7 linked regions of the Ovis aries genome follow. The protein of the gene in region 1 purifies or fractionates together with the protein of each later gene. This does not show direct contact. Links are inferred from orthologs where the notes say so. Each region holds a gene or a part of one and is shown in the gene's direction. Other genes may lie near its edges.

Region 1 (3,500 bases):
CGCCCTTGAATTTATTTATTTATTTTTGCCATGCCTTGGCTTGAAGGATCTTAGTTCCCTGACCAGGGATTGAACCCAGGCCCCCAGCAGTGAAAACATGGAGTCCTAACCATTAGATTGCCAGGGAATTCCTTGAATTTATCTTTTGAAGAAATGAGGCTGTTGATCCTATAGTTTCCTACAACAGCTACAGTTTCTTGAGTAATTTACTCTGCTGTGCTGAGGATTACTGGTATATCCACTTAATTCTTACACCAACCCTGAGATGTAATAGTCCTTTTCATGATGGTAAGCATTAAGTACATACATTGAAATTTGAGGAGATTTTGATAACTTAGCCTGAACAGTGGCAGTGGCAGGATTCAGGTCCAGAGGCTAGGTTTTTAAACACTACACCAATTGGTTTCCCTGAAGAGCCTTCCAATAGAAGCAGCCTCGGCTGGAGGATTGAGGTCGACTCCTTAGGTTGGCATTGAGCACCTTCCCAACCTTATCCCCACATCTCTGCTGCACAGGGTGTCTTCTCAGAATACCCTTTGTTCTCCAGTCAGCCTCTCCAGGGCCTTCTCAGCCTTCAAGCCACCACAAAGCTTCATGCCATGAAGGCTTTCTTGACCACACCAGCCCCAGAGGTCTGTCCCGCACACACTGCCCTGCTTGTTGGGTTGTTCAGGCACATGCTGTCTTGGGAGCTTTCTTGTTTTTTGTGTTATTGCTCCTGCTAGTTTTGAGTTCGCTTTATAGGTCTGGGAATGTAAAGTCCACCCTCAGGCCACAGCCTTGGGCCCTGTGAATGCTCTTGGTGCAATTAGCACTACTGTCACTGCGCTTCTCTACTTCCCATCCAGTGCCTTGAACAAGTTTCAGTATGTGGTTTCGTCCACAATATTTGTTGAATAAATTTGCAGATAACTTGGGTATGTATGTAGGAGGGGCAGACGGGGTTACTGAAGAAAGGAGACTACGGGGCTCTGGGCTGGGGAGAAAGGTGAAGGAAGGAAGTGGACAGAGGAAAAAGGGCTCCAACTTGCTCTTCTTCTTGCAGCCCCGTGTTTCCCGGGCTGTTTGAATTCTGCTCCCGTTACACAGGCGCATCTCTGCAAGGAGCAACCCAGCTGAACAACAAGGTAGCTGTACCCCAAGTCCTGTTTCCCCCTTCCTGTGGGTCCCTGAATCCAAGGCCTTAACCATGATCCTGAGCTCCCAGCTTTGGGGGTGGGCAGGAAAAGGACTATGAGTTGGGCGTTTGTCTTTCAGATCTGTGATATTGCCATTAACTGGGCTGGTGGTCTGCACCACGCCAAGAAGTTTGAGGTGAGTGAGGAGGTAATGGGGGAGACAGCAGCTCTGCTAGGGTAGGAGGTCAGGATGGCAGTCAGGGGGCGGCTGGGTGGAGGAATTGTTCCTCTTTGTAATACCACTATACTATCTTACCATAGGCTTCTGGCTTCTGCTATGTTAATGACATTGTGATTGGCATCCTGGAGCTGCTCAAGTAAGTAGCCCGGGAGGAGATGGGGCCACTTGCGAGGCTCTTGGCTGAGGTCTGAGACTGCCCTGGCCCTGACCCTGACCCTGACCTCCAGCCCCACACTAGCTTCTCCCAAGTTCTTGATGCTTTTCTCAGGCTGCCTCTTCCTGTGCTCTGCTGCAGATTCCCCGCTGCCTGCTCACATTTCAGCCTTCTCTGCACATCCCTCTCCTGTCCCTGCCTCCAGGCTGGAGCCCCAGGGTTGCCCTTAGGGAACTGGTGGTATTAGGTTTCAGGTGACTTGGGCCAAAGTAGACTCTTCATAATTTCTGGCCTTGTGTTTGGGAGGAGTGGGTTGGGGGCTTTTCCTCCTGGGGTTCACCTCTGCCTCAGACGCTGGCTTTGCCTTCACCCCAGGTACCACCCTCGGGTGCTCTACATTGATATTGACATCCACCATGGCGACGGGGTTCAGGAAGCCTTCTACCTCACTGACCGAGTCATGACAGTATCTTTCCACAAATACGGAAACTACTTCTTCCCTGGCACAGGTATGGAAATAGGAATGCCTGTCCCCTTCATACTCCTCAGCTCTTACCATGACTGCCTCCTCCGCAAGCTCAGGTCTCAATTCAGGTGGCCCCTCCTTGGAGAAACCTTCCCTGATCACCCTGTTACCCTGTCACATCACTCTGCTTTTTTCTTTTCAAGCACTGGTTGCTGTTTGAATTTATTGTGGGGTTTTGTTTTGTTTACTGTCTCCCACCTAATCATGCCTACCTCCCAAGAATATGAGCTTGGTGGGATTTCATTTATTTCGTTAGTTCTTTTTCCTGCTGTATCCCCATACCTAGTTCACAGCTTGGCTCATAGTAGGCCCTCCAGGAGTATCTGTTGAATGAATGCAAGCTGCAAGAGACTTAGTGGTTTGAGGGAGTGTGTGGCGGACATACACAGATGGAGTGAGAGGCCCTCAGAGTACATGGTGGGGTTGAAGCAGCTGGCGCCCCCAACCCCTCTCCCCCACAGGTGACATGTATGAAGTTGGAGCAGAGAGTGGCCGCTACTACTGCCTCAACGTACCCCTGCGGGACGGCATTGATGACCAGAGTACGTACTAAAGTCTTCTCCCTGCTCACTAGGCTCCTTCTCTCTCTCCCTCCTTGAGTTAACCTCTTCTGCCTGGTATTGTCTACCGTTGGGCCAGGTGTCCTTCAGGATGAATGGCCTTCAGAGGGACCATGAACTCCCTGGAAATTGTATGCAACATATTGTGTGTATGTGCATTTTTCTGGGAAAAAGGTCATTAGCTTCCATCAGTCCCTCCAGAAGTCTCATGAACTTCCCCACCTAGAAGTTTGGAACCAATAGTGGTCCCTTTGGGTTGCCCCTTTCCTGGGCTACACGCTCTCTGAACCCCCTTTTTCCTTTTGTTCCCTGTCTCCCCATCCCCTTGGGGTGCCAGGTGCCCATCTTTGGCCCTCTCCCAGGTTACAAGCACCTTTTCCAGCCAGTTATCAACCAGGTGGTGGACTTCTACCAACCCACGTGCATTGTGCTCCAGGTAATACTGTCCGTGCTTCCTTAGGCACTCAGGCTTACGGGAAGAGAGCAGGAAAGAGGAGAATCCCTAGGCTGGTGGGGGAAGGGAAGTGAAGGACATCGGTGACATTCTGAGTAGTTCTCTCACTGTAGCCACCTGGGGTTTTGATTTTTGCAGTGTGGAGCTGACTCTCTGGGCTGTGATCGATTGGGCTGCTTCAACCTCAGCATTCGAGGACACGGGTGAGAACTGCTCTCCTTCCACTCTTCCAGGTTTTCAAGTGGCCTTGGGCTTCAATACATGGAACGGGTAGCTGGGAAACAGCCCTCACCTCCTTTTGGGACTGAAAAGTAGCTGCATGTTGTACTTTGAACCAGAAATGTCATCTTGAGCAGTGTTCCCCAGTTGGCAACATTCACATTAGGTTTTTGTTAAGCACCTGTTGTGTTCCAGGCATTGTACTAGGAGATGGGGAAGCAGTCAGGG
Region 2 (3,500 bases), on another chromosome or scaffold:
GGCCGTTTCCGGGGAGCTGGAGGTGGGTGCGGGGCGCAAACGACCTGGGCCCCGCGGGGGAACCCCGCCCGGAGGCTTTCCAGTTTCTTTCCAGTCGCTTGTTCTTGGGGCGGGGGGGGGGGGGGCGGCTTCTGAACTACGGAACTCCTTCGCTGGCCACTAAGCTCAACTCCACCTGAGCGAGGCGCGCCGCGTCAAGACGCAGCGTAAAACACCAAGAAAACAAACCCAGAAAGAAAACTCAACACAAAAAGCAGGTCGTGGAGACCGACCACCGTCTGGTCTCAGTAAAGGAATCAGCGCCACTTCGCCGCGGCTGCCAACCGGCGCCGAGCGGCTCCCCGGGCTGGGCCCTCGGCCCTTCCCGGCCCCCTCGCGGCGAGTCCCATCCATGCCGGGAAAGTGGAGGCCTTGGGGCCCCCCGGCCCCCAGGTCTCGGGAGCCTAGCGGCGGCCGCTTCATCTATCTCCATGGCTCGCGGATGCTTCTCTCCGACAGACTCTGATCCCGGACCATTTGCGGCTCAGCGCGCGGCCCCAGTCCCTCCAGGCCGACCGGCCTTCTGCTCCACCTCCTGGGTCTCCGAACCACGGCCGCCCCTGGCGCGGCCGCTCACGGCAGCCCCCCGGGGCGGGCGGGCTGACTGACTGCCGGCCGCGCAAGCCCACGAGTGTGCAAAGCCGCCGCCGTCCGCACCGGAATGGCGGTCTCGAGCGAATGTAGGAGCGTGTGGGTGCGGGTATGTGGATGCGGGGAGCGCGGCGTGGCCTCCGCACTGGCTGGCGGTGGACTCTCCACCCTGGCCGCGTACAGTAGCGCGCGGCGGCGGCGGGGGCGCGCGGGCCAATTCCAGGAGCCCGCGGCACCGAGCCGCGCCCTGCCTGATACCGGAAAGGCCTGTGATTGGCCGGCAGCCGCCCCTATGCAAACGAGCTGAGGGAATGGAATTCCTCGGGCCGGGCTTACAGTAAAAGCACGTTCATTTCCAGGCACTCTCATTCATAGAGCCAGCGGGCGCAGGCGGGACGAGCGCCCCGCGGCCGGACCCAGCCAGGGCACCACGCTGCCCGGCCCTGAGCCGGCAGGCATCTCTTGCTGGGGATACTGGGGACGCCAGAAGAAAGTCAGTCTTTGCTGTTTTTCATAGAACCGCGTTGGAACTTCGATTTTGAATTGTGTGTGGGGGAGGATTTTGTTGTTGTTTTTGCCTTTTCCTACTTTTGAATGAACTGGTTTCTTGGCTGGATGGTTCCATTTCTTTCCTGGGTGTGAACTTTTCTCCGGTTGTGTCCTTTGACAACAGCGGGAGAGAGTGCGCCGGGCTTCGTGGCGAGTGGTGAAGTGGCGCGTGTGCGTGGCAGAGTGTGCGTGCTTGTGTAACTCGAGCCGCCCCGTCTGTTGCGATCTGCGCTGCGGAGCCTTTCTCGCCAGGGCCCGCTCCACCTGCTGCGGTTCCGCGGTGTGTGGGTAAATTGGCGCGTCCGGGCAGTTCACCCGGCCGGCGCTGGGGCGACGTTGGAGGAAGCTCGTCTCGCTACTGCCCAAGTCGGGGCTGACTCACCGGAGTCGATGTAGACGGCGGCTGGCTCCCGAAGAGTGCGTGCCTGCGTGCGTCTGACTCCGCTGCAGCTCACCTCCCACCAAACCACAGGATCAGCCACAAACTTAACCAACATCCCCAAACCCGAGTTCTCAAATGTGGAGAGCTGAACCCTGAATATCATCGACTTGGATTTTTTTTTTTTAAGATCAGCTTTTTCTTTGATAAAGCTTGAATTTTCTGAACTGAGCATTTTGCCAGAATTTATTGAAAACATGACAAGTCCTTCTAGCCCAGCCCTTCAACTACTGAAGCTGATTCTCAAGGCTACTTAGAGAAGAAAAAAAAAAAACAAAAACGTGCAGCGAACATTAATGGGTTTCTGTTGTGTTTAATTTCTCTACAGATTGTATTGTAAATATTTTATGAAGTAGAGCATATGTATATGTTTATATATATGTGCACATACATTAGAAGCAGGACCTTTTGGAAGTCTCAGCTCTCGCTTTTGAGGACCGAAGCCAGTTTTGCATGAATAAAAAGTGGCGCCGTATTTGAAGACACTCGTATATTTTCTGTTGTTTGGACTTTAAACAAAACTCACCTGGGGGGAAAAAAAAGAAGAACTGACAGGCAATTAACTACTGGAACGTCCAAATCCTATATTTGCTGGTCCTTCTGCTCTCCGCATAAATAGTTTAGGAAGTGTATGGGAATTTTTGCCTCCGGGTACTTCTGTAACAGCCAAAGACTGAACCTTCAAACTCTCAAAGCAAAACTCAGAAGATAGGGTCCCTTGGCCCTTGACTTTGGATTCTGGTCGCCCACTTTTCAAAGCACTAAGCGGTCGGTGCCCGGGTCTGAGCTGAGGCCGATTGTCAGAACTAGAACTTTTTCAGCCTTCCTGGACTGTTCGTAACTTAGTCTCCCCCTCTCCCCCAGCCACCTTGCAGCAATAAAGGTCCCTGAACTTGTATGTTGGTCTCCCGGGAGCTGCTTGCTGAAGATCCGCGCCCCTGTCGCCGTTTGTTAGGAGCTGTTTGCAGGGTCCTAACTCAATCGGCTTGTTGTGATGCGTATCCCTGTAGATGCCAGCACGAGCCGCCGCTTCACGCCGCCTTCCACCGCGCTGAGCCCGGGCAAGATGAGCGAGGCGCTGCCGCTGGGCGCCCCGGACGCCGGCGCCGCCCTAGCCGGCAAGCTGAGGAGCGGCGACCGCAGCATGGTGGAGGTGCTGGCCGACCACCCGGGCGAGCTGGTGCGCACCGACAGCCCCAACTTCCTCTGCTCCGTGCTGCCCACGCACTGGCGCTGCAACAAGACCCTGCCCATCGCTTTCAAGGTAACTCGGGCCGGAGCGGGTGGCGGGAGGACAGGCAGAGGCCGGTCGATCGCCGGGGCGATCGGGGAGGGCCGTGGCCAGGCAGGCGGGGCCGGGTTCTAGAAAGGGGCCGGCGCGGAGGCCCGTGGTCCATCCCTCTGCGCTGCGCACACGGGGGATGCTGCGTTGCCGTGGCTACCCTCGGTTGGGCTGGGGGCGGGGGGGCGATGGTGGAGGGGTCCCGCTTCAGTAGGCCGCCGCGGCCTCCGGGGGATGGTTGAAAAAATTCAGGGTGCCCCCCCCCACAAAGAAGTCCACGGAGGGCCGGCGGGACCTCCTCCCCGGGCATCGGTCCTTCGCTTTGATCCAAAGTAGGAAAAGTTATAACCCGGCCGGAACCCAGCCCTTCTGAGGAAGGCATCAGGAAATAAAATCGAGATACTCTGATATACCTTTGGATCCAGGAAAAGAAACTTGACAAGGAAAACTCTCATGGCTTTTCCCCACGTCCACCCCCTGTTTAACTGCACTGTAGAAATTAGCAAGTTCAAAGTCCACGGCGGACTCTGTTAAATTTGCAAAAGTTTTCTGAGGGGTGTTTTTGGTGGTTGTTTTGTTTTGAGCTTCTAGCCTATTCCT
Region 3 (4,184 bases), on another chromosome or scaffold:
CTTAATTTGGGGCAGGTAGAGTAAAAACTTTAAAAAAATGTTAAGACTGGGTAAGATGTCCTTTTATTTTAAAAATAAGCACCAAAGAGACTGAATCTTTTCAGTCTCTGAAACTATATTCTTTTATATTCTTATAAGTTTGCGATTAATATTGGGGACTCGCGTATAGCCACGAATATATATAGGTTTTGTTTAAAATCATCAGATCAATACACCTATTTCTTTAACTTGTAATTGTTCTGATTGTTGCCAGACCCCCGCCAACCGCCTCAGGCTCTCGAATGCAGCCCCCGGGCAAATTCTAAAGGTGAAGAGAGGTCCACACCCCCAACAAAGCCAATTAGGAAGTTTCCGGTGGTCTTCTCCCAGGCGGGGAGGCGACCAATATTTCCAGCGATTTAGCTTAATTTTTAATTAAAAAAACGAGACAGGACAGAGACCACTGTTTTGCAGCCTTCCTTTCAGAGTGTTTTTCTAGCTGTTAAATTGCCGGCACAGGGCGGGGGCGGGGGGGAAGTGTTGGGGGCCCCCCGCAAGAATGGACTAGCTAAGGTAGGAAGACAGTGCGCAGATCCCCCAGGCGAAGAGGACAGGGCGAAGGAAATGCTGGCCACCATCTTGGGCTGCTGCTGGAATTTTCGGGCATTTATTTTATTTTATTTTTTGAGCGAGCGCGTGTTAGGCTGAAAGCCCTTTAACTTTGGGGGTTACCCCTCCGGCATTTGCACAGACCCCCCTCGGTGCGGGAATGAAACCTCCACCGGGGTTGTCGGCTCTGCCCTGAGTCCCTGAATGGTAAATGGTTCCTGAAATTTACACGTGTTAATGAAAATGAAAGAAGACGTAGACGCTAAGATCCCTTGGCTGCCTCCGCCCGTGGGTGCCCTCGTGGCGTTCTCGGAAATGCGCCCATTCTCCCGGCTCAGAGTGTCACCGAACCCCAGCGTCCCCCTCCACACGGTCTCCCCCAGCTGCGTGTGGCCTGCCCGCCCTCCTAGTTGTCCCCCTCTGCAGAGCCACCGTCACCCAACCCCCCAAATCCTGCGGGACCCGCTCGGGGAGGACAGACCCCCCCCCCAACCCCCGCTCCTGCACCCCTCTTCCTCGGCGGGGAGAAAGGCAGCCTTAGGACGGTTTGCATTTCTATGAAAACCCGGCTTCGGGGGCAACACCGCGCGGTGCAGGCGCGGCGCCTCCGGGATGGCTTTTGGGCTCTGCCCCTCGCCGCTCCCCGACGCTCGGCGCCCGCGCCCCCTCCCCCTGCGCCCGGCCCCCCTCCTTCCCGCTCCCATTCTCTGCCCGGCTTTGATCTCTGCTTAACAACAGTAACGTCACACGGACTACAGGGGAGTTTTGTTGGAAGTTGCAAAGTCCTAGAGCCTCCAGAGGGCTGTCGGCGCAGTAGCAGCGAGCAGCAGCGTCCGCGCGCTCCGGCGAGGGGCAGACGAGCTCGAGGGAGCGCGGGGCAGCAGGAGCCCGAGTCGAGAGCCGACCCAGCCCCGGACCCATCGCCGCCCCCCGGCCACCTAGCCGAGCCCCCAACCATGGCACACCAGCTCCTGTGCTGCGAGATGGAAACCATTCGCCGGGCGTACCCCGATGCCAACCTCCTCAACGACCGAGTGCTGCGGGCCATGCTCAAGGCGGAGGAGACCTGCGCGCCCTCGGTGTCCTACTTCAAGTGTGTGCAGAAGGAGATCCTGCCGTCCATGCGGAAGATCGTGGCCACCTGGATGCTGGAGGTGCGGGGCTCCGGGCGGCTCTCTTAGCACTTTCCTGCGACTTGTTGCGCAAACCCACTTTTCTTTGCCACTCATCACCCTCCCTTCTCTCCCACCCAAACTTTGAAGTTTGCCAGAGTGTTGCTAGGAATCGTAGTTCCAAAATATATAGATATTCAGGGTATTTTTTTGAACAAGGAGGGAGTGGGGGTGGGGTCATTAGATAATTCCTTTCGTGGGTGGGTGGGGGCGGCGGCGGTCGAGGAGGGGTACCCTAGGGGAAAGCCACTGCCCGGGCACCCCAGTTGGCTTCAGGGTGCGGGCCCGCAGGCTGGGCGTCCTTTGTGGCCCCCGCCGGGACCTCCACCGCGCAGCCCCGCTGCGCCTCCTCTTGCGGCCGCGCGGCTGCTGAGCCGCCAGCTCCAGGGGGAGGGGGCATAGATTTGATTTTTAAATTAATATCCATGGACACGTATGCAAGGGCCGCTCGTGCCAGTATTATGCGCCATCTTTGTTCTTTTATTGCAAAGCAAAAGTGTTTATTAATAATTGGGGGCAGGGTGGGGGCGGGGAGCGGCCGGCCAGGCGCTTGGGGCCGCCGCGAGGGGCCGCGCCGCCACCGGGACCCAGCGGGAGGGGCGCGGGGACAGAGCTCGGGTAGTTGTGGGGGGACCCCTCTCGGGAAAGGGGGCCCCTTTGTTCAAGCAGTGGGTCCCGGGGCGTCCCGCAAGGCCAGCTTGGGCCAGAGAGCACGCCGGGCTGCAAGGTCGCGTGGCCCCCAAGACGCTAGGAATGGACCCTCATCTGCCGGGATCTCAGCTTGGGGGACCTGTCTGGAGCGAGCTGGGGGCCAGGGGCACGTTTTCAGGCCTTCAGAGGGCTCCCCGGGGCACCGCAAGTATTTTAAAATAATTTTTGAAAGTGCGGCGTGGTGCCCTTGCGAGAAGGAAACGGCGCCCGCGCCCAGGGGGAAGGGGGGCCCCCGAGTTTGAATTCCTGGGGCTCTCCCCTGAGCCCGCAACGAGCTCCCGACTCCCGGCCTGGGTAAAGGACAGTCTGAGGGTCATTTTCAGGGCATTTTTATGTACCCACTTAATTTTTTTATATTTTTAAATATTTTTTGAAAAGATGACGTCTGGGGAAATGCGGCGCGGCGGCCTGGGACGCCACCTTTGTGTCTCGCAGGCGCTGCGAGCGCGGCGCCCAGCCCCGCGGCCCTCCCCGCGGCCCTGCGCCCCATTTTTTGCCGACCCCAGGTCTGGCGGCTCCCGAAGCACCCACGCGGGCCGGGGTCCCTGGGACCCACAGCCCGCGCGCGACACACGCCGCCCAGCTGTGCCCGCTCCCGCCCCCACTGTGCCAGCCTAGCTGGGACTTTCCCTTTCAGTTTCGGGGTGGGTGAGTATTGGGGACTCCCGGGGAAGAGGGGCGCGGCGGCGGCGGCTTCTGCTGCCCCTTGCCCCGACCCTCCGCGCGCTCAGAGACCTCGCAGTCCAGCCGCCCTGGCGCGAGCCGGGTCGGGGGGCGCGAGGTCTCCGCAGAGGGGCCGGGCGCTCCCGGCGGCGGCGGCGGCGGCGGCGGTCACGGCCCCCGGTGCCCCCCGGCAGGTCTGCGAGGAGCAGAAGTGCGAGGAGGAGGTCTTCCCGCTGGCCATGAACTACCTGGACCGCTTCCTGTCGCTGGAGCCCGTGAAAAAGAGCCGCCTGCAGCTGCTGGGGGCCACCTGCATGTTCGTGGCCTCGAAGATGAAGGAGACCATCCCCCTGACGGCCGAGAAGCTGTGCGTCTACACTGACAACTCCATCCGGCCCGACGAGCTGCTGGTAACCCTGGGACCCCCGCCACGGCCCCTGAACGCCCAGTTAGCCGCGGGACCCCGGGGTGGGGGAGGCGCGGGGGTCCCCGGCGGGCCGCCGAGAGACCCTCGCCCCCAAGGAAGGCGGCCGCACGGGCGGGGCCCCGCGCCGCCCCGCAGCCGCGCCGCCGCCCCCCTCGCTTTCCCTCTGACTCCCACCACCTCTGCGCCCCCAGCGTTGCGAAAAGTGGGGGGCGCGCGCCCTCCAGCGGCGGCGGCGGGGCGGCGCCCGCGCGGTTGACCCGGCTCCGCGTTCCAGGTGTGGGCGGGCCCCTGGTCTCCGCCGGCCCAGGGTGGGCTGAGTTTAGGGTAGGACCCTTGGCGAGCAGCACCGTCCCTGCACGGAATGTGGGGTCGCGCGCTCTCCCCCTCACTTCCCGGACCCTCCAGCGACCCCCATCCCCTCTCTCCGACCCCTGCTCCACTGGGGTCCGCGCCTGCGCCTCTCGACACGCGTTTCCCCCGGGTCCGCAGCACATGGAGCTGGTCCTGGTGAACAAACTCAAGTGGAACCTGGCGGCCATGACCCCGCACGACTTCATCGAGCACTTCCTCTCCAAAATGCCGGTGGCCGAGGAGAACAAGCAGATCATCCGCAAACACGCGCA
Region 4 (3,999 bases), on another chromosome or scaffold:
ATTCCATGGACAGAGGAGGCTGACAGGCTATGGTGTATGGGTCTCAAAGGGTGGGACACTTTCATATTTTCAGTCTCACTTGCTAATTATCTCTCAGAATGGTCTCCTTCCATCACTAAGTTATGATGCTAGTCCAAACACTGTCATCTCTCCCAGGATTCCTCTGACAGTAATGGATCTCTGCTTCCGCCAAACTGATCACTCCCACACATCTGCGTCTGTCTCACCTCCTTGTAAAATCTTTCCATAGCCCCCCATTGCCTGTGAAAAGAACACCTTCCTAGGGCTTCCTTGGCAGTCTGTTGGTTAAGACTCCATGCTTCCAATGTAGGCGACTTGGGTTCAATCCTTCACCTGGGAACTAAGGTCCTCCATGCCAGTGTGCCAAGAAGATTAAAAAAAAAAAAAAAAAAAAAGCACACCCTCCTTAACCTGGTTTCAGGATACAAGACCTGCGCTTATCCTACTCCTTCAGCTTCCTCCACCACTGTACCGGGCTTTTCACCTCCCTCAATTTATGCTTCTACTTCGGGCCAGAACACTTACATCTAGTAACAAGGTGTCTGGACTTTCTAGTTGTGCTGTTCTATCTTCATGACTCACTTTCCCAGTGTGTAAAATAGGGATAATAATGCCTACATCAAAGTTTGCTGTATTGAATTTCTTAACATATGCAAAGCACTTCCAAGAGTGCCAACCTGCCAGTAAGTCCTATGTAGATAATAACTCTCATTTTCACACACGTGGTCAGTGTTGAGGGATGCGATGAAAATTTCTGTGGGGGAGGAGAAAGATACTAAATTACCGTAAGCAAATATTATATAAAAAAGACAATACAAATACAAAGTAAAAGTAGAAAACAAAAAGAACATAGAACCTCAGTGATCCTTATTCAAAACAAATCCCTAGAAGCTTAAGAATCCATGACAATGAGTGGGAAGGGGAGATGATCCTCCATACGGCAGGAGGCGCTGCAGCACTCCTCAGGTTGAGGGGCTAACCCAGGAATGCTAGGATGCGCTACGAAGGTCACGTGCCCCTCATTTACCGCCCCAGCGTTCACGCCTCGTCTCTCCACGTGACTCGCATTCTCGGGGATTATTGGTCTGCGTGAGGCACGTGGGCAGGGCAGACCGCGGGGGGGCGGGGCGGGGCGGAGGGGTGGGGCCGGGGGCGGAGCTGGAGGGGGGTGGTTCGGCGCGGGGGCCGTTGGCTCCAGACAAATAAACATGGAGTCCATCTTCCACGAAAAAGTGAGTGTCCACGTTCGGTGGGGAGCTGTCCACGGCGCGGTGGCGGGCGTGGGGTGCGGAAACGCCGCCTCCCGGGGAGCTGGGTGGGGCCCGAGAGGCCCCCATCCAGATCTCGCCGGGCGGGAGGAGCTTCCCCGGGAAGGGAGCTTCACCGCTGTCCCCATTGCACCCCAAGGCCCGTGCCGGAGGATCCGGAGGAGACCCGGTCCGGGGATGTTTAGGAAGCCGGGACGGGATAAGGGCCGGGCCGGGGGCGCCTCCGGGCACGAGAGAGGAGATGGCTTCTGCGCTTCCCCTCCACTTTCCGTGAAATTTCTTCTCCTGTCCCCCTCTCTCCGTCTCCCCACATCCTAGCTAGTCACCTCTCGGACATCTTCCTCTATCCTTCCCAGTTCCACCCCACTCTGCCAGTCCTAGTCCTTGGAAGAATTAACTTTTCCTTCTCTGGGCTTCTTCGTTCTATATTGGAATCTCCCATACCCTTAGATCCTTGTCCTGCACTGAGTCCGTAAGCCTCTCGAGGCAGGGACCTTGGCTCGCCCCATGGAGGGCGTGACACTTCAGCGAAGTGAAGTAGGGAACCCGGTGCGCCTCTGCACTGGGAAGTCGTCACAAGAGTTTCTGTTACGAGGAGTTTGGGTTTCGTTTCTTTCGGTAGTGGCATCTTTCCGGATCAGGAGGCTAGCTTTCTTGTTAGGTATTAAGGATGGGCAGGAATAATGTTGTTGTTGTCTGCCTAGCCCATTGTGCTTTGATTCTTCCATGACTATGCACTTGAAGATTAATGTTTGTGGCATGTGGATAAACTCGTCTTTTTTCGCATACAATTACCATTTCATTTGAGTGTGAATGAAACCTTCCTCAGGTCGGCTTAAACACATATCTTATTTCATAATAGTTTCATGTTTGGAATGAGTTGCTGCTGAGGCTGTTATTTAGTAGGAGCAAAGGGGTTGTGTTTTGTTAAATACTTATATATCCATTTTAAAATGCACACACACAGCAATCAAAGCAATCAGAGACGAAGTGCAGTATAAATTCAAACAAATTGTTATGGAATGCTTTTCTTTATAGAAAACATTTCAGATTTTTTTTTTTTTTTTTTTTTTTGGTGGATGAGGAAGGACTCAGTGTTTGGTTATCACTAATCTTTTCAGTTGGCTGACATATATGAATCCTGGACAAGAGAAATTTAGTTGCTTGGCTAAGGAGATTGGATGAAAAGAACATTGAGTGGACATATTTTTATGACTAATTTCAGAAGCTTTGGTGTAGGACCAGATGTTTCACATTGAAAACTTTAAATTTTTCCACATCACTTTTTGAGGACCATGCAATGTTTTTTTTTTTAAAAAAAAACAATATTCATTGGTACCTAGTTTAGATAGATTGCAGTGGGATCTTAATCATGGGATCAGAAGAAGTTGGACACTAGCCTAATGAAAATCCACTTAACTTAGAGCAGTCACTCTGAATTATCAGCCTCAATATAGATTTAAAGACTTTTCAAGAACACATTTACCCTCATCACCTTGCATGTACTTAGCAAATGAAGACTCAAGTTCTACAGGGATGTTTCAGAGGTAAAGAAAGCACCTATAACCACGGACCTGTTGCCCATCTTCTACAGAGGCCATTTTGGGGATGTTTGAATCAATATGACATTTTCCGGAGCACTCCCTTCTCCTGCTCCTCATGTATTTAACTCCAGGTCCTGGATTTGGAGAGCCAGAGAACCAACTGTAGCCGATAGGAATCTGCGTGTAGGGATGTCTGCCTGCAGAGAATTTTGCAGCCACTTCCTCTTGGAGTTCTGATTTCCCCATTTTCAGAGTTGTCACTTTAATAAGTGACCCTTTAATAAGTTGAAGTGCCCTTTAATAAGTTGAAATGTAAACTCAAGAGTTGTTTATTGATATATCCCCAGTATCTGGCACATAGTAGGTGTTCAGTAAATATCTGAATGAATCAAGAGTGTTCCTTGAGCATCTAAGATGATATGGTGCTGTTTATATAAACAGGTTTTCTGTAAATATTTTAGACTTTGCAAGTCATTTATATTCTCACATATTCGTGTGTGTGTGTGTGTGTGTGTGTGTGTGTGTGTGTGTGTATCTGTATGCTTTCCCAAGCATCTAAAAATGTGAAAATCATTCTTAGCTACTGGGGCAGAGTGAATATGGCCCACGGGCTAGAGTTTGCCAGTCCCTAACTTAAACCCTTAACGCTACATGGCCACCTAGTACTGGTTTTTTTTTTTTGTTGTTTCAATTTTTTTTTTTTTTTTTTTGGTTCTGGTACCTGCTTTCTGTCATTATCACTTCTATTGCTGACTGCTCTTGGTGAGGTTATTATTTTGCCACCTGAATTGATACTTTTATGCATTTACAACTGAGAATGATAACCAAACTTGTTGGGATTATATTTAAGATTAGTGAAAATACTGGAAAGATGCTGAGTGTTGACCTTGACATTCATGATGTTTTTGTTGTGTGTGTGTGAGAGAGAGACTGCTCTTTCCTATCCATCTTCAGGCTATTTGAGGTTTAAGATTCACCAAGTTCCAAATAAGTGGCTTAAGGAAGTGTTAATAGTACAAACTCTGCCTGGGTTTGAATCCTACCTCTGCTGTTTGCAGTATCTGGTCACTGTATTAGGTAGCTCTTGAAGTGAAATAGCCTATCTTAATAGAGACTTTTTGTTGTTATTTGAATTTTTTATTAAGGATAACACGTGTAGGGGCACC
Region 5 (4,122 bases), on another chromosome or scaffold:
TTAGGCAATGAATAAAAATTTTAGGTCTGAAAGGAATCCAGTATCATTTTGGTACATCTAGTGGAAGGCGAGGGAATTGTTTCAGTCCACTGTGAGAATTTGGTGAAGAAAATTGTGATTTAATAAACCATTTATCAACCTCTTGGTGGCACAATGGGCCTACTAAAATTTGGTGGGCTGCTTGCTATTTCTTCAGCAAAGAACAATCAGTAAAGCACTTGATGGGCACTTGGGGACAAGAGAGGCAACGATGTGAAGGGCCACGTGCATGTGACATTCATAGAAAATACTATTTGGTGATGATGAAGTACGCAAAGGACAGTTATGCTGAAAGAAAAAACCTAGGGTAGGGGAAGATCAAGGGTGGTTGGCATGGAAGCTTACCCAGCAAAAACACGCGATGTTAAGCCAATTACAGGGATTATATAGTGTCTTAATTTTTAGGAAGGATTCCTTGTTGAAGAGGCCACATTCAACCTGGGGAGACACCGAGGTAAATTTGAAAAAGACTTGACCACGAACTATTTAGGTACCTTTTCTACATCTGAGAAAATTACGAGCCGCACCTTCTCAACATTCTGGTCCCCAAACCAGGCATTTAAAATGGATTAGAGAGGTCTGGGGCCTACAGTTGGCCTCCACTGAGGTCTTTTCGCTCTCTTTTTCCACCCCACCCTTTCCCGAAGAAAAACACAGCTGGGTGTGCCCTCTCTTTTAGGAGCGCAGCCCCCATCTGAGGGGGCGGGTCCGGATCCCGGCGGGCTCAGGCCCCGCAGGTTGGCGGGACCCGGCGGGGGCGGGCCAGCGTGGGTCTGAAAGAAGCGGAGAGAATGTTGGCCGGCGCGCGCCGCGCTCAAACTCGCGCCACCACTAGCTCACGAGCTGCGCCCCACTCCCTCCGTCACCAAAGGCGCCCAGCCAATGAGCGGGCCGGAAAGGCCGGGCCTGCGGGCTAAGCAATGGGAGGGGGAGCGACGGGAGGGGGCGGGAAGTCGAGGGCGGGCCACACTTGATTGACAGCTCTCTGGAACCAATCCTCTGCACGGCTTCTCTTCGCTCTCCTCTCTGCTCGGCTCAACTCTTCGTCCCACCTCTTTCTCCTCCACCCCGCTCCTCGTTCCTTTGCGACCCGCCCCACTTCCCCTCCCCCACTCTGCGGGCAAATCGCTGCTGGAAAGAGGCGGGGGCCTAAGCAGCGGGCTTGTGTGGCGCCTTGAAGTGGGATTGACAGGCGGCCTGACCAATAGAAGGTACGCTGATGGCGCGGCTGTGGCTGGAACCGGCCAATGGGCGAGCGGGCTGGGGGCGGAGGCCCAGGTTCCAAACGCTCCGCGGCGCCATGGGCTGAAAACTCAACCGAGATGGAATCTCCCAGTCTGAACCGGTTTCAACCGGTTCCGAGTTTGAGGCACTAGGAGGAGGGGGAGAAGCGGCTGCAGCGGCCGCGGCAGGAGCAGCGGGAGCTACAGCATCAGCAAGAGCAACAGTAGCTACAGCCCGGGCGGCGGTGCCTGTTCCAGTCTTTGCTGCTGCAGTCCGTGCAACCACCCAGAGGGGGAGGGGGGAACCACCAGTCGCTGAGGAGCAGGAGAAGGGGGGAAAGTTTAGGCGAGCCTGGGTGGGGGGGGCCAGCGCCGGAGCCGCGTGAGAGAGGGAGCCGTATTTTGGTAGGGGGAAATCGGACTGCAACTGGCAGCAGAGCGTCCCCCGGCCGTGTGGACTCTACAGCCCCTACTCCTGCCGCTCCTGCTGCCGCCTGTGGCTGGAGGGTCCCCCTGGGGCTGAATCTTTGGGACTTGACCCCGTTCCCCTCCCCCTTCTCTCACTCCCCAGCCAGGCGGGAGCATTTATCCACAGATTAATTCCCTTTTTTAGGGGGGGGGCGGGTGAGTGTGCGTGTCGGCGGGAGGTGTCCCCGAAATAGTAAATATTGTTGAGCTTTTTTTTTTTTTTTTGCCCTTATCCTCTTCGTTTGTAAATTTCTTTTTTAAGGTGGGAAAACTGTGAAACCCACCTTGATTTTCCTCCCCTCTCCCCCCTCCCCGTCCTCCCTTGCCCTAATACCCCAACAAGGAAGGAAGAAGCAGTTGGTTCAATCTCTGGGTAAGTCGACTGTGTCTTCGGGGCCGAGGGTCGGGCGGCGGCGCGGCTGGGCGGGAGGAGGCTGGCGTGGGGCGCGGCGGCGGCGGCCGCGGGAGGCGAACCGGGGAGGCGGCGGGGGGCCCACAGCAGAGCTTGCGATTGAATGGAGCCGCTTCTGCTGCTGCTGGGGGATGGAGGCGGGGAGGCGGCCGCGGAAGGGGAGCGCTGGCTGGGTCACTCGTGTGTACGGGGAACGGTGGCGGAAGGCAAGGAGCGAAATAGTGAAGTCGGGCCCTGCGCGGGGGTGGAAGGGCCTCTCTCAGCCCGGTGGGCTGGGGAGAACTTGGGGAGATTTTAGGAACATTTCTGTAAATTATTAGGAGTGGAAGTTTCCAGAAATATTTAGTGCAGCAGCATTGAAACGTCCGCCTGCATCACGTGGCCCTTCGGTGGAGAGCTTGGGATCGCGGGAGGGAGGGGCTGTGGAGTCCTTGCTCCTCCTGCAGGTAAACTCAGAATCTCTTGATTTTTTAAGAGTAGAAATAGAAGCAGGAAAGGTTAGTTGCTTTTTCAGGGATCTGCAGATGAGGTTCCGTGCTATAGTTTGTTTCGGGGGACTTGGGTGAGTTAAAAGTGATCAACTCATTTACTGCTGGCATTGTACAGTAGGTGATACCCTGATTCTCCTTTATTCCGATGCCTGAGTTTGGGGTGGGCGGGAGGAAATGGTGTGCTGGAGGAAGTATTAAAAGATTTGCCCGACGCGGACCTCCTCTGATCACGCAGAGGCCATGCTGCATAGAGAATGGGGCGGTGAACTTCAGGCGCCTGGTCTAAATGCCTCCTCCCGAGTATGGGCGGGGTGAGAGCGTGCTCCAGTCTGCTATAGTTAGAAGTGCTGCACTTCGCTTCGGGTGGGAAGAGAGGGGGAGGGCGGGCCTTAGTGAGGTGTGTTTCTACTGAATGAAGCAGGCAGTTGCTCACACACCTAAAGTAGCAGTTTCTCCTTGCAGAGACTTGCTTTTTTGGCCTACTATGTAGTTATCATAAAGCAGCGGTTATGATTTTCTGGTTTTGGGATGGGAACCCGCAGTGTGTAGCTGCCTGCCTCTTCAGTTTGAAGTGGCAGTGGAGGTATTTTGGTCGTCACTTGTGGAGTCACCACATGGGTGGTTAATACTTTATATTTACTATACTGTGAGTGGAATTTAGGATTGGATGTCTCAAGAAGAAAAGGCTTTTGTGGTCTCTCTTGCCTCTCCCTCTATGGTTTTTTGCTATCTGCCTGATTGTACATCTTAAGCGTGTGGGACACTGCTGTTAGTGGAAAGAATGTTTTGGAAGCTATTTGATTTGGGAGACTAAATGTGCTTGGCATTGACCAGAAAGCCGCCATTTCTGTACTACAGTTAAAGAATAGGTAGGTCATTTCGAAGATAGTAGCTAGTTTTAAGGGTGGCATGCCCTGCTGTATTTAACACAAGCTTCTATTCTGAACCTGATCTTTTCACAGGAATTTGTTTCGAAGGAATTTGTAAGGACAGTGTACTTGAAAACTGTTTGAGTCACTTTTTTTTTTGGTTTTGGCTATTAATTTTTAAGATCTTATTTTTAAAATTGTATGGCACTCGAATGGGGGGAATTTACATTTGACATTTGTGCAGTATATATATTTTTATTAGTATTTAGATCAAATATTGTGTGTTCAATATTTTGTATTTGAAATACATTTAATAACTACTGTAGAAAATTTTGAAATCTCACCACTGTCAATAGTGGATGGAAAGACAAGTCTTAAATTCATAATTCCTCAACTTTTACATTATATCTAACCTAACTGATCCTTCAGACTTTGTTGTAGTTGATATCATTAAAACATGAGTTAAAAATTGAAATTGCTGCCGTTAAGAACGTTTTTAAACTGTTGTAAAATACCTAAGAAATAAGCCTTTTTCCTAACAAGCTAGTTTGTTCAGATCCAGTGTAATCCGGTTAGCCACCCTATTTCCTGGTCTTGGAAGGTTAAAAAGAGGGGGAGAA
Region 6 (3,069 bases), on another chromosome or scaffold:
TCACAGAGTCGTGCAGCTGTTCTCACTGGGTGAGGTTTAGAGAAAGGTTCTTAGAAAAAGGTTTGTCTTCTCGCCTACCTCCTGAGAGTCCTTTGGGAACTTTGGGGGTCCACTGGTACAAGCAGGACCCACTTCCCTCCATTACTTTCCCAGATGATCGTCACCGGATTGAGGAGAAGCGCAAAAGGACATACGAGACCTTTAAGAGCATCATGAAAAAGAGCCCTTTCAATGGTAAGAGGGGGCGGCGGGAGAATCAGAGAGCAGTGGGCAGGGAGGGGACCCTAGACACCAAGAACTGACCCAGCCTTCACCCCACAGGACCCACCGACCCCCGGCCTCCAACCCGGCGCATCGCTGTGCCTAACCGCGGCTCAGCCTCCATCCCCAAGCCAGGTGAGGATTTCCTTAAGGTCGTCACACTGGAACTGTAGGCTCAAATCTGTTCGATCCATGGTTTCCAAACCTCTTGGAGAGAGTCGAGCAGTCTCACCAGCAGGTGTCTGAAACCTGCTCGCTGTTGGGCTCCTGTTTCTCAGGGCCTGAGCCTTCGTGGCCTAAAATCAGAGCCAGCTGGGAAGCAGTGAAGATGCCGATTCCCGGGCCCCTTACAGACATGGGGAATCAGAGGCTTTGGAAGTGTGTCCCAGGAACCAGCACCCCCCTGGGGATGAGAACCCATGTGGTGTCAGTTAAACCCACATTGGATGCCTTGAGATGCAGAAGTTTCAAAAATGCAGTCTCTGCTCTTAGTTCTCCATTGAAGTGGGGCAAAACAGTAGCAAAACAGTAACCTGTAATGTTTGTGCTGCTGTGTGTCTCAGAGAAGGAGGAAGAGGCGCTGCTCCCTGCCGGCTGCTCGGGCACAAGGTTGTGCCCGCTCTGAAAGCATCCTTTCCTCTAAAGGCTGTGAGAGCTTTGTGGGCCGGGGTAGACAGGCAGGGCTCCACGGAGGGGAGCCTGGAACTGGGCCCTACAGGGGAGGCCAGATTGGGTAAGAGGAGGGAGTAGGGTGCCAGCGGTGATGCCACAGGGAAGGGGTGAGCCTCAGCACTCGAGGCAGCAGCTGGGGTGCAGAAGCTGGGGGGAGGGGGTGCCTCCGAGGCTTTCTCTGACCCCTGCCTCTCTGTTTCTCTTCTCCAGCTCCCCAGCCCTATTCCTTTACGCCATCTCTCAGCACCATCAACTTTGAGGAGTTTTCCCCCATGGTCTTTCCTTCTGGGCAGATCCCAAGCCAAACCTCGGCCTTGGCACCAGCCCCCACCCCGGTCCTGACCCAGACCCCAGTCCTGGCCCCGGTCCCAGCCCCAGCCCCAGCTCCAGCCCCAGGCATGGCATCAACCCTGGCCCAGGCCCTAGCCCCAGGCCTGGCTCAGGCTGTGACCCCGCCTGCCCCCAAGACCAACCAGACCGGGGAAGGGACACTGACAGAGGCCCTGCTGCAGCTGCAGTTTGATGCCGATGAAGACCTGGGGGCTCTGCTTGGCAACAACACTGACCCTGCTGTGTTCACAGACCTGGCATCTGTCGACAACTCTGAGTTTCAGCAGTTGTTGAACCAGGGTGTATCCATGGGCCCCCACACAGCTGAGCCCATGCTGATGGAGTACCCTGAGGCTATAACTCGCTTGGTGACAGGGTCCCAGAGGCCCCCTGACCCAGCTCCCACTCCCCTGGGGCCCCCTGGGCTCACCAATGGCCTCCTCTCGGGGGATGAAGACTTCTCCTCCATCGCGGACGTGGACTTCTCAGCCTTTCTGAGTCAGATCAGCTCCTAAAGGGGTGATACCCGCCCTGCCCAGAGCAGTGGGTTAGCAAGGGATTGAAGCCCTCCCAAAGCACGCACTTACGGATTCTGGGAGGGTGTGCTCCAGTTGCCCCCAGCTTCTTTGGGTGATGTCTTCCTGGGGAGGGGGGGTGCATTTTATTCTTTTATTGGCAGTATCTCTCTCTTTTTGGAGGTGCTTAAGCAGAAGCATTAACTTCTCTGGAAAGGGGAGAGCTGGGAAGACTCAGACTCTTCTATCCCTTATCCTGATGTTCAGCTCCAGGCTCTACAGAAAATTCTGGGGTCCTCCAACCCCACCCTCCAGCTTGTAGTACTCTCCTAGAGAGATGGGCAGGCTGGAGCTATGGCCTTGGAGGCCACAAAGCCTTATTACAAGTGTCTTCCTCAAATCATAGATTCATTTATACCTTGAGGCAAAATAATGCCCCTGTTATGCGCCCCTCTCTGGTGCGGCATTCTTTGTGCCTATCTACCAGCCTTTGAGGGCCTGGCTTTCCCCACCCGTGGAGGTCTCTGCCAGCTCTTCCCTTGCTGGGCTGTGGTTGAAGGGGACTGGCGGGACAGTATTGGCCTTCTCCAAGATCCAGGGAGGTTCTCTTTGAGACTGCTCTGTTCCTCCTTTTCTCAAGTGCCTTAATGGTAGGACGAGCTGTTCAGAGTCGGGGAGAGCAGGCTGGCTGCTCTCCAGTCAAAAGGCTCAGTTTTTACTGAAGAATCAAAGCATTTATAGACTATTGCTTTTTCTACTCTGAACTAATAAATTTGTTACAATGCTGGCTAGAGATTTGTCTTTTTTGAGCACACTCTTTGCTGGTCATTTCAGGCTGGATGTTGGTGATACAGAGTTGGAGGCACACATTTGCTGGAGGAATACATTGCCACTGGGGAGCTTGCAGTCCACGGACATCCCTGGACACTCGCTACCAGCCAGTGAATGAAAGCAGGCGGCTATAGGGGGCGAGGGGAAGTCAGCCTAGCGAGAGCCCGGTTGGACCCAGGAGTCGTGGGGATGGAACATTTTCAGGAAGGGCTTCACAAAGGCCACGCTAGCTTAGCTTCAGGTCTATACATCAGCAGAGGGGCTAGCCTGCATTTATAGGTAAGCGGGATAGGAGACAATGTTGGAAAGATTCTATGGGCCAGTCTAAAAGATGAAGAGGCTCGGCTAAGAGGTTTGGGTTTCATCTCTTAAGTGGTTGGGAAGGGAGGTGCCAGGTAAAGGTCTGTCCTTTAATACCCTGCCCTGGGAGGACCAAGGAAATCTTAAATCCGAAGCCGCC
Region 7 (3,500 bases), on another chromosome or scaffold:
GCTTGCATTCTCCTTCCTGAACATTTCTCTGGGGTATTCATGAACCTGGGGACAGCTCGAATGCCTTTTCTTTAGCTTCTCTTCTTTCTCACCCCAGACTGAGAAATTTTAAAAACATAATTACTCTTTTTTGAATGGGAGAACCCCAGGCAGATCCTTGCTGTAGGTTTAAATCTGTAGTCCTTTTTAACTTTTTATTTTATATTGGAGTATAACCGATTAACAGTGTGGTAGTTTCTAAATCTGTAGCCTTGGAATTAGCTCTTTGTCCTCCCTGAACACCCACATCCCACGTTTTGGTCTTAGTTCAGGTTTACGGTATTCATATCTCCCAGTCCACCTAAAAGGAATGCCAACTGGAAAGAAAGGAACTCATATCTTTTGAGCATCTATTGTGTGCTGAGCACTGAGCTGAATGCTCTAGAAATATTATTTCAGTAGCCCAGAGAGCTGGGAATTATAATGTCTGTGTAATAAGAAGAAGTGAAATCTGGAAGTGAAGTAGTTTCTCAATTTCACATACCTCTAGGAGATAATGGATTCTAGAACTTGGCACCATGCCCACACTGTCATCTTGGTTTAGAAGAAAGAAGCTGTGATGTGGCCCCAGGGATAGAGATTTGAATCCATATGTATTGTTCTAAAGTGGGTGGAGCAAGTGAGAGCCTTTCCACACACCTTTTATCCCTAATCACAGACCTGATCCCTGTGTTGGATAGATCATTTCCTCTTACTGGGGCTGGTAGTGACCATATGAACCTTTGGTTTGCAGTTGTGACCCCTGATTCCAGCAGAATGGCCCAATGGAATCAGCTCCAGCAGCTGGACACACGGTACTTGGAGCAGCTCCATCAGCTGTACAGTGACAGCTTCCCCATGGAGCTGCGGCAGTTTCTGGCCCCTTGGATCGAGAGTCAAGATTGGTAAGTCCTTCTCAAGAAACTCCCCAAATTGCTAGGCTTTAGTTTGAGTCAAGAGACATGATCTGCTCTAACTTAACTCTTTGCTAACTATTTCATCTTAAAGCTTATAGTTGCAGGTGACGGGACAAAAGAGATTGGAAAGTAAAGAGGTCATTTTAGTCCTGAAAAGCATTTTTACATTAGAAAGGCATCTGGAAAGCTGTCTTTTGGCACGCTGAAACATCCTGCTTGATGGTTCAGTTCAGTTGCTCAGTCATGTCCAACTCTTTGTGACCCCATGGACTATACCACCCCAGGCCTCCCTGTCCATCACCAACTCCCGGAGTTTACTCAAACTCATGTCTACTGAGTCGGTGATGCCATCCAACCATCTCATCCTCTGTTGTCCCCTTCTCCTCCTGCCTTCAATCTTTCCCAGCATCAGGGTCTTTTCAAATGAGTCAGTTCTTCGCAAGATTTGAAATTGAAAGTAAAACCTGTTACTGGTTCAGTCGTGTCTGACTTTGTGACCACATGGGCTGTAGCCTGCCAGGCTCCTCTGTCCATGGAATTCTCCAGGCAAGAATACTGGAGTGGGTTGCCATTCCCTTCTCCAGGGGATCTTCCCGACCCAGGGGTTGAACTCAAGCCTCCCGCGTTCCAGGCAGATTCTCTACCATCTGAGCCACCAGGGAAGCCCATTTTAATTTCATTTGCTTGATGAGATTCTCTGCATGTTCTGATGCTTCAGGGACATGCTACAGATAATTTCTTTTTAATCTGAATGAGAATTTTGTCATGGGTAAAAAAAGGTTTGGGTTTGTACTTCTGATTCCTCTTTCATTAAAGAAAAGAGATACAGAGTTAGAGAAACAGACTCAGTCATAGAGGAGATAGGGGTTCCCTGGTGGCTTAGATGGTAAAGAAATCGCCTGCAATGCAGGAGACCCGGGTTCATATCCCTGGGTCAGGAAGATCACCTGGAGAGGGAAATGGCAACCCACTTTAGTATTCTCGCCTGGAGAATTCCATGGACAGAGGAGCCTGGCAGGCTACAGTCCGTGGGATCGCAAGAGTTGGACACAACTGAAAGACTAACACTTGGTCATAGAGGAGATAATGGTACAGAATCCCAGCAACTCTTTCCTTCACTTTAATGTATTCAGATCCACCTTTTAATTTTGGTTTAATTCAGGCCCATGACCTAGCTTTTCCAGAATTTGATGAGGGGCCAGGGAGGTAATTCAGAGATGTTGGAAATAGGCCATCCTAACCTGGGATTGGTTATTTGCTACTGAAAATCTGACCATAGAGTTGACTGAGAATTTAAAGGAAAACAGCATATCTGACCATTCAAAATTTGATAAATATAGAACTATGACAGTCGCTTAATAGTATCCAAAATAATTGCTGGTAATTTTAAAATCAGTGACTTTTATGATTGCTGAGTAAGATGTATCTAAAATGGTGAGTGGGTTAAAGCTTCAGGTTTGCCTTGTTTTTCCCTCCTTGATGGTGATTTCGAGTGCATGCCTGTGCGTGTGAGCGTGTGTATGTGTGTAGGTTTCAGAATCATTCTTTGTCTTTATCTTCCTTTTTCTAGGGCATATGCGGCCAGCAAAGAATCACATGCGACTTTGGTGTTTCATAATCTCTTGGGAGAAATTGACCAACAGTATAGCCGCTTCCTGCAAGAGTCCAATGTTCTCTATCAGCACAATTTGCGAAGAATCAAGCAGTTCCTTCAGGTGTGAGGAGAAACTGAACCTGCAGAGAAGGGTTTTAGCTTTCTTTCCTGAAAATGTTTGTTTCTCACTTGGTTAATTAATAACCTATCTTGTACTTTAAATCCAAGGAGAAGTTACCAGCCCTTTCAGTATTATTGCTTGAAGTTTACTTGGTTGGTTCATTGAAATAATAATGTGATTTTTATGTTAATTATATTATGTTAGTATGCGAATGACATGATTGTAACAAGTTCAGATGACTAGGAAAATGGCTCTTACTTTTCAGTGTCAAAGGCTTGGACACCGTAGTTGGATACTCCTTGACAAAGTCACCCCCCTGTAAGACCAGGATAACTCACTGTCCAAAGTCTGTCTGTCCAAAGACAGACAACCAAGCCTACTCTCACTACAGTACTGCTCATCGTGATTGCCTTTCTTCTCCGTCACTTCTCCTACTGACTGTAGCCAGGCTCTGATGCTCTGTGGTTCCATGTAGTAAATGTAACACTTTCCCTAGTTTATGAGGAAGTTAGCTTTAAGTTAGCAAAGTTCGGTCCACATCTCCTGAGCTGCTGCTGATTTTCATTCTCTTTGTCTCCCCACTTACAGAGCAGATACCTTGAGAAGCCAATGGAGATTGCCCGAATTGTGGCCCGTTGCCTGTGGGAAGAGTCCCGCCTCCTCCAAACTGCAGCCACTGCAGCCCAGGTGAGGCCTGGGAAGAAGCAAGCGCTGTTAATATGTGCTTCCTTCACGTGTACGAAGATGTCCTTGCCTTTTGACCTCCATAATCGTGGGTGTTTGGGGGTTGTGTACAGTAAAAATAACTTTCTCAGCATATAAAATGCATTCTCCTTTTTAAGGAAGACTT

What was found.
Region 2: the proteins of HDAC3 (region 1) and RUNX1 purify together in Homo sapiens (affinity purification with western blotting; 3 studies listed by BioGRID). This does not show direct contact. The link is inferred for Ovis aries from reciprocal best matches to the Homo sapiens genes HDAC3 and RUNX1.
Region 3: the proteins of HDAC3 (region 1) and CCND1 purify together in Homo sapiens (affinity purification with western blotting; 5 studies listed by BioGRID and IntAct, with this or other methods). This does not show direct contact. The link is inferred for Ovis aries from reciprocal best matches to the Homo sapiens genes HDAC3 and CCND1.
Region 4: the proteins of HDAC3 (region 1) and ATXN3 purify together in Homo sapiens (affinity purification with western blotting; 3 studies listed by BioGRID). This does not show direct contact. The link is inferred for Ovis aries from reciprocal best matches to the Homo sapiens genes HDAC3 and ATXN3.
Region 5: the proteins of HDAC3 (region 1) and XPO1 purify together in Homo sapiens (affinity purification with western blotting; 3 studies listed by BioGRID, with this or other methods). This does not show direct contact. The link is inferred for Ovis aries from reciprocal best matches to the Homo sapiens genes HDAC3 and XPO1.
Region 6: the proteins of HDAC3 (region 1) and RELA purify together in Homo sapiens (affinity purification with western blotting; 3 studies listed by BioGRID and IntAct, with this or other methods). This does not show direct contact. The link is inferred for Ovis aries from reciprocal best matches to the Homo sapiens genes HDAC3 and RELA.
Region 7: the proteins of HDAC3 (region 1) and STAT3 purify together in Homo sapiens (affinity purification with western blotting; 4 studies listed by BioGRID). This does not show direct contact. The link is inferred for Ovis aries from reciprocal best matches to the Homo sapiens genes HDAC3 and STAT3.

The regions. Positions count from the first base shown.
Region 1 is NC_056058.1:50,380,170-50,383,669, reverse strand, and holds part of HDAC3 (histone deacetylase 3), read left to right. Parts: intron 1-1,045; coding exon 1,046-1,127; intron 1,128-1,257; coding exon 1,258-1,314; intron 1,315-1,439; coding exon 1,440-1,495; intron 1,496-1,888; coding exon 1,889-2,022; intron 2,023-2,500; coding exon 2,501-2,581; intron 2,582-2,961; coding exon 2,962-3,035; intron 3,036-3,191; coding exon 3,192-3,256; intron 3,257-3,500. UniProt on the Homo sapiens protein: Histone deacetylase that catalyzes the deacetylation of lysine residues on the N-terminal part of the core histones (H2A, H2B, H3 and H4), and some other non-histone substrates.
Region 2 is NC_056054.1:267,702,961-267,706,460, reverse strand, and holds part of RUNX1 (runt-related transcription factor 1), read left to right. Parts: intron 1-2,628; coding exon 2,629-2,882; intron 2,883-3,500.
Region 3 is NC_056074.1:43,280,741-43,284,924, forward strand, and holds the start of CCND1 (G1/S-specific cyclin-D1), read left to right. Parts: upstream 1-1,384; 5' UTR 1,385-1,544; coding exon 1,545-1,742; intron 1,743-3,328; coding exon 3,329-3,544; intron 3,545-4,050; coding exon 4,051-4,184. UniProt on the Homo sapiens protein: Regulatory component of the cyclin D1-CDK4 (DC) complex that phosphorylates and inhibits members of the retinoblastoma (RB) protein family including RB1 and regulates the cell-cycle during G(1)/S transition.
Region 4 is NC_056071.1:54,598,870-54,602,868, reverse strand, and holds the start of ATXN3 (ataxin-3), read left to right. Parts: upstream 1-1,199; 5' UTR 1,200-1,229; coding exon 1,230-1,253; intron 1,254-3,999. UniProt on the Homo sapiens protein: Deubiquitinating enzyme involved in protein homeostasis maintenance, transcription, cytoskeleton regulation, myogenesis and degradation of misfolded chaperone substrates.
Region 5 is NC_056056.1:46,574,116-46,578,237, forward strand, and holds the start of XPO1 (exportin-1), read left to right. Parts: upstream 1-1,322; 5' UTR 1,323-2,103; intron 2,104-2,530; exon of another isoform or gene 2,531-2,588; intron 2,589-2,982; exon of another isoform or gene 2,983-3,502; intron 3,503-4,122. UniProt on the Homo sapiens protein: Mediates the nuclear export of cellular proteins (cargos) bearing a leucine-rich nuclear export signal (NES) and of RNAs.
Region 6 is NC_056074.1:40,273,169-40,276,237, reverse strand, and holds the end of RELA (transcription factor p65), read left to right. Parts: intron 1-153; coding exon 154-234; intron 235-321; coding exon 322-396; intron 397-1,143; coding exon 1,144-1,778; 3' UTR 1,779-2,569; downstream 2,570-3,069. UniProt on the Homo sapiens protein: NF-kappa-B is a pleiotropic transcription factor present in almost all cell types and is the endpoint of a series of signal transduction events that are initiated by a vast array of stimuli related to many biological processes such as inflammation, immunity, differentiation, cell growth, tumorigenesis and apoptosis.
Region 7 is NC_056064.1:42,178,038-42,181,537, reverse strand, and holds part of STAT3 (signal transducer and activator of transcription 3), read left to right. Parts: intron 1-772; coding exon 773-923; intron 924-2,505; coding exon 2,506-2,650; intron 2,651-3,238; coding exon 3,239-3,337; intron 3,338-3,500. UniProt on the Homo sapiens protein: Signal transducer and transcription activator that mediates cellular responses to interleukins, KITLG/SCF, LEP and other growth factors. Once activated, recruits coactivators, such as NCOA1 or MED1, to the promoter region of the target gene.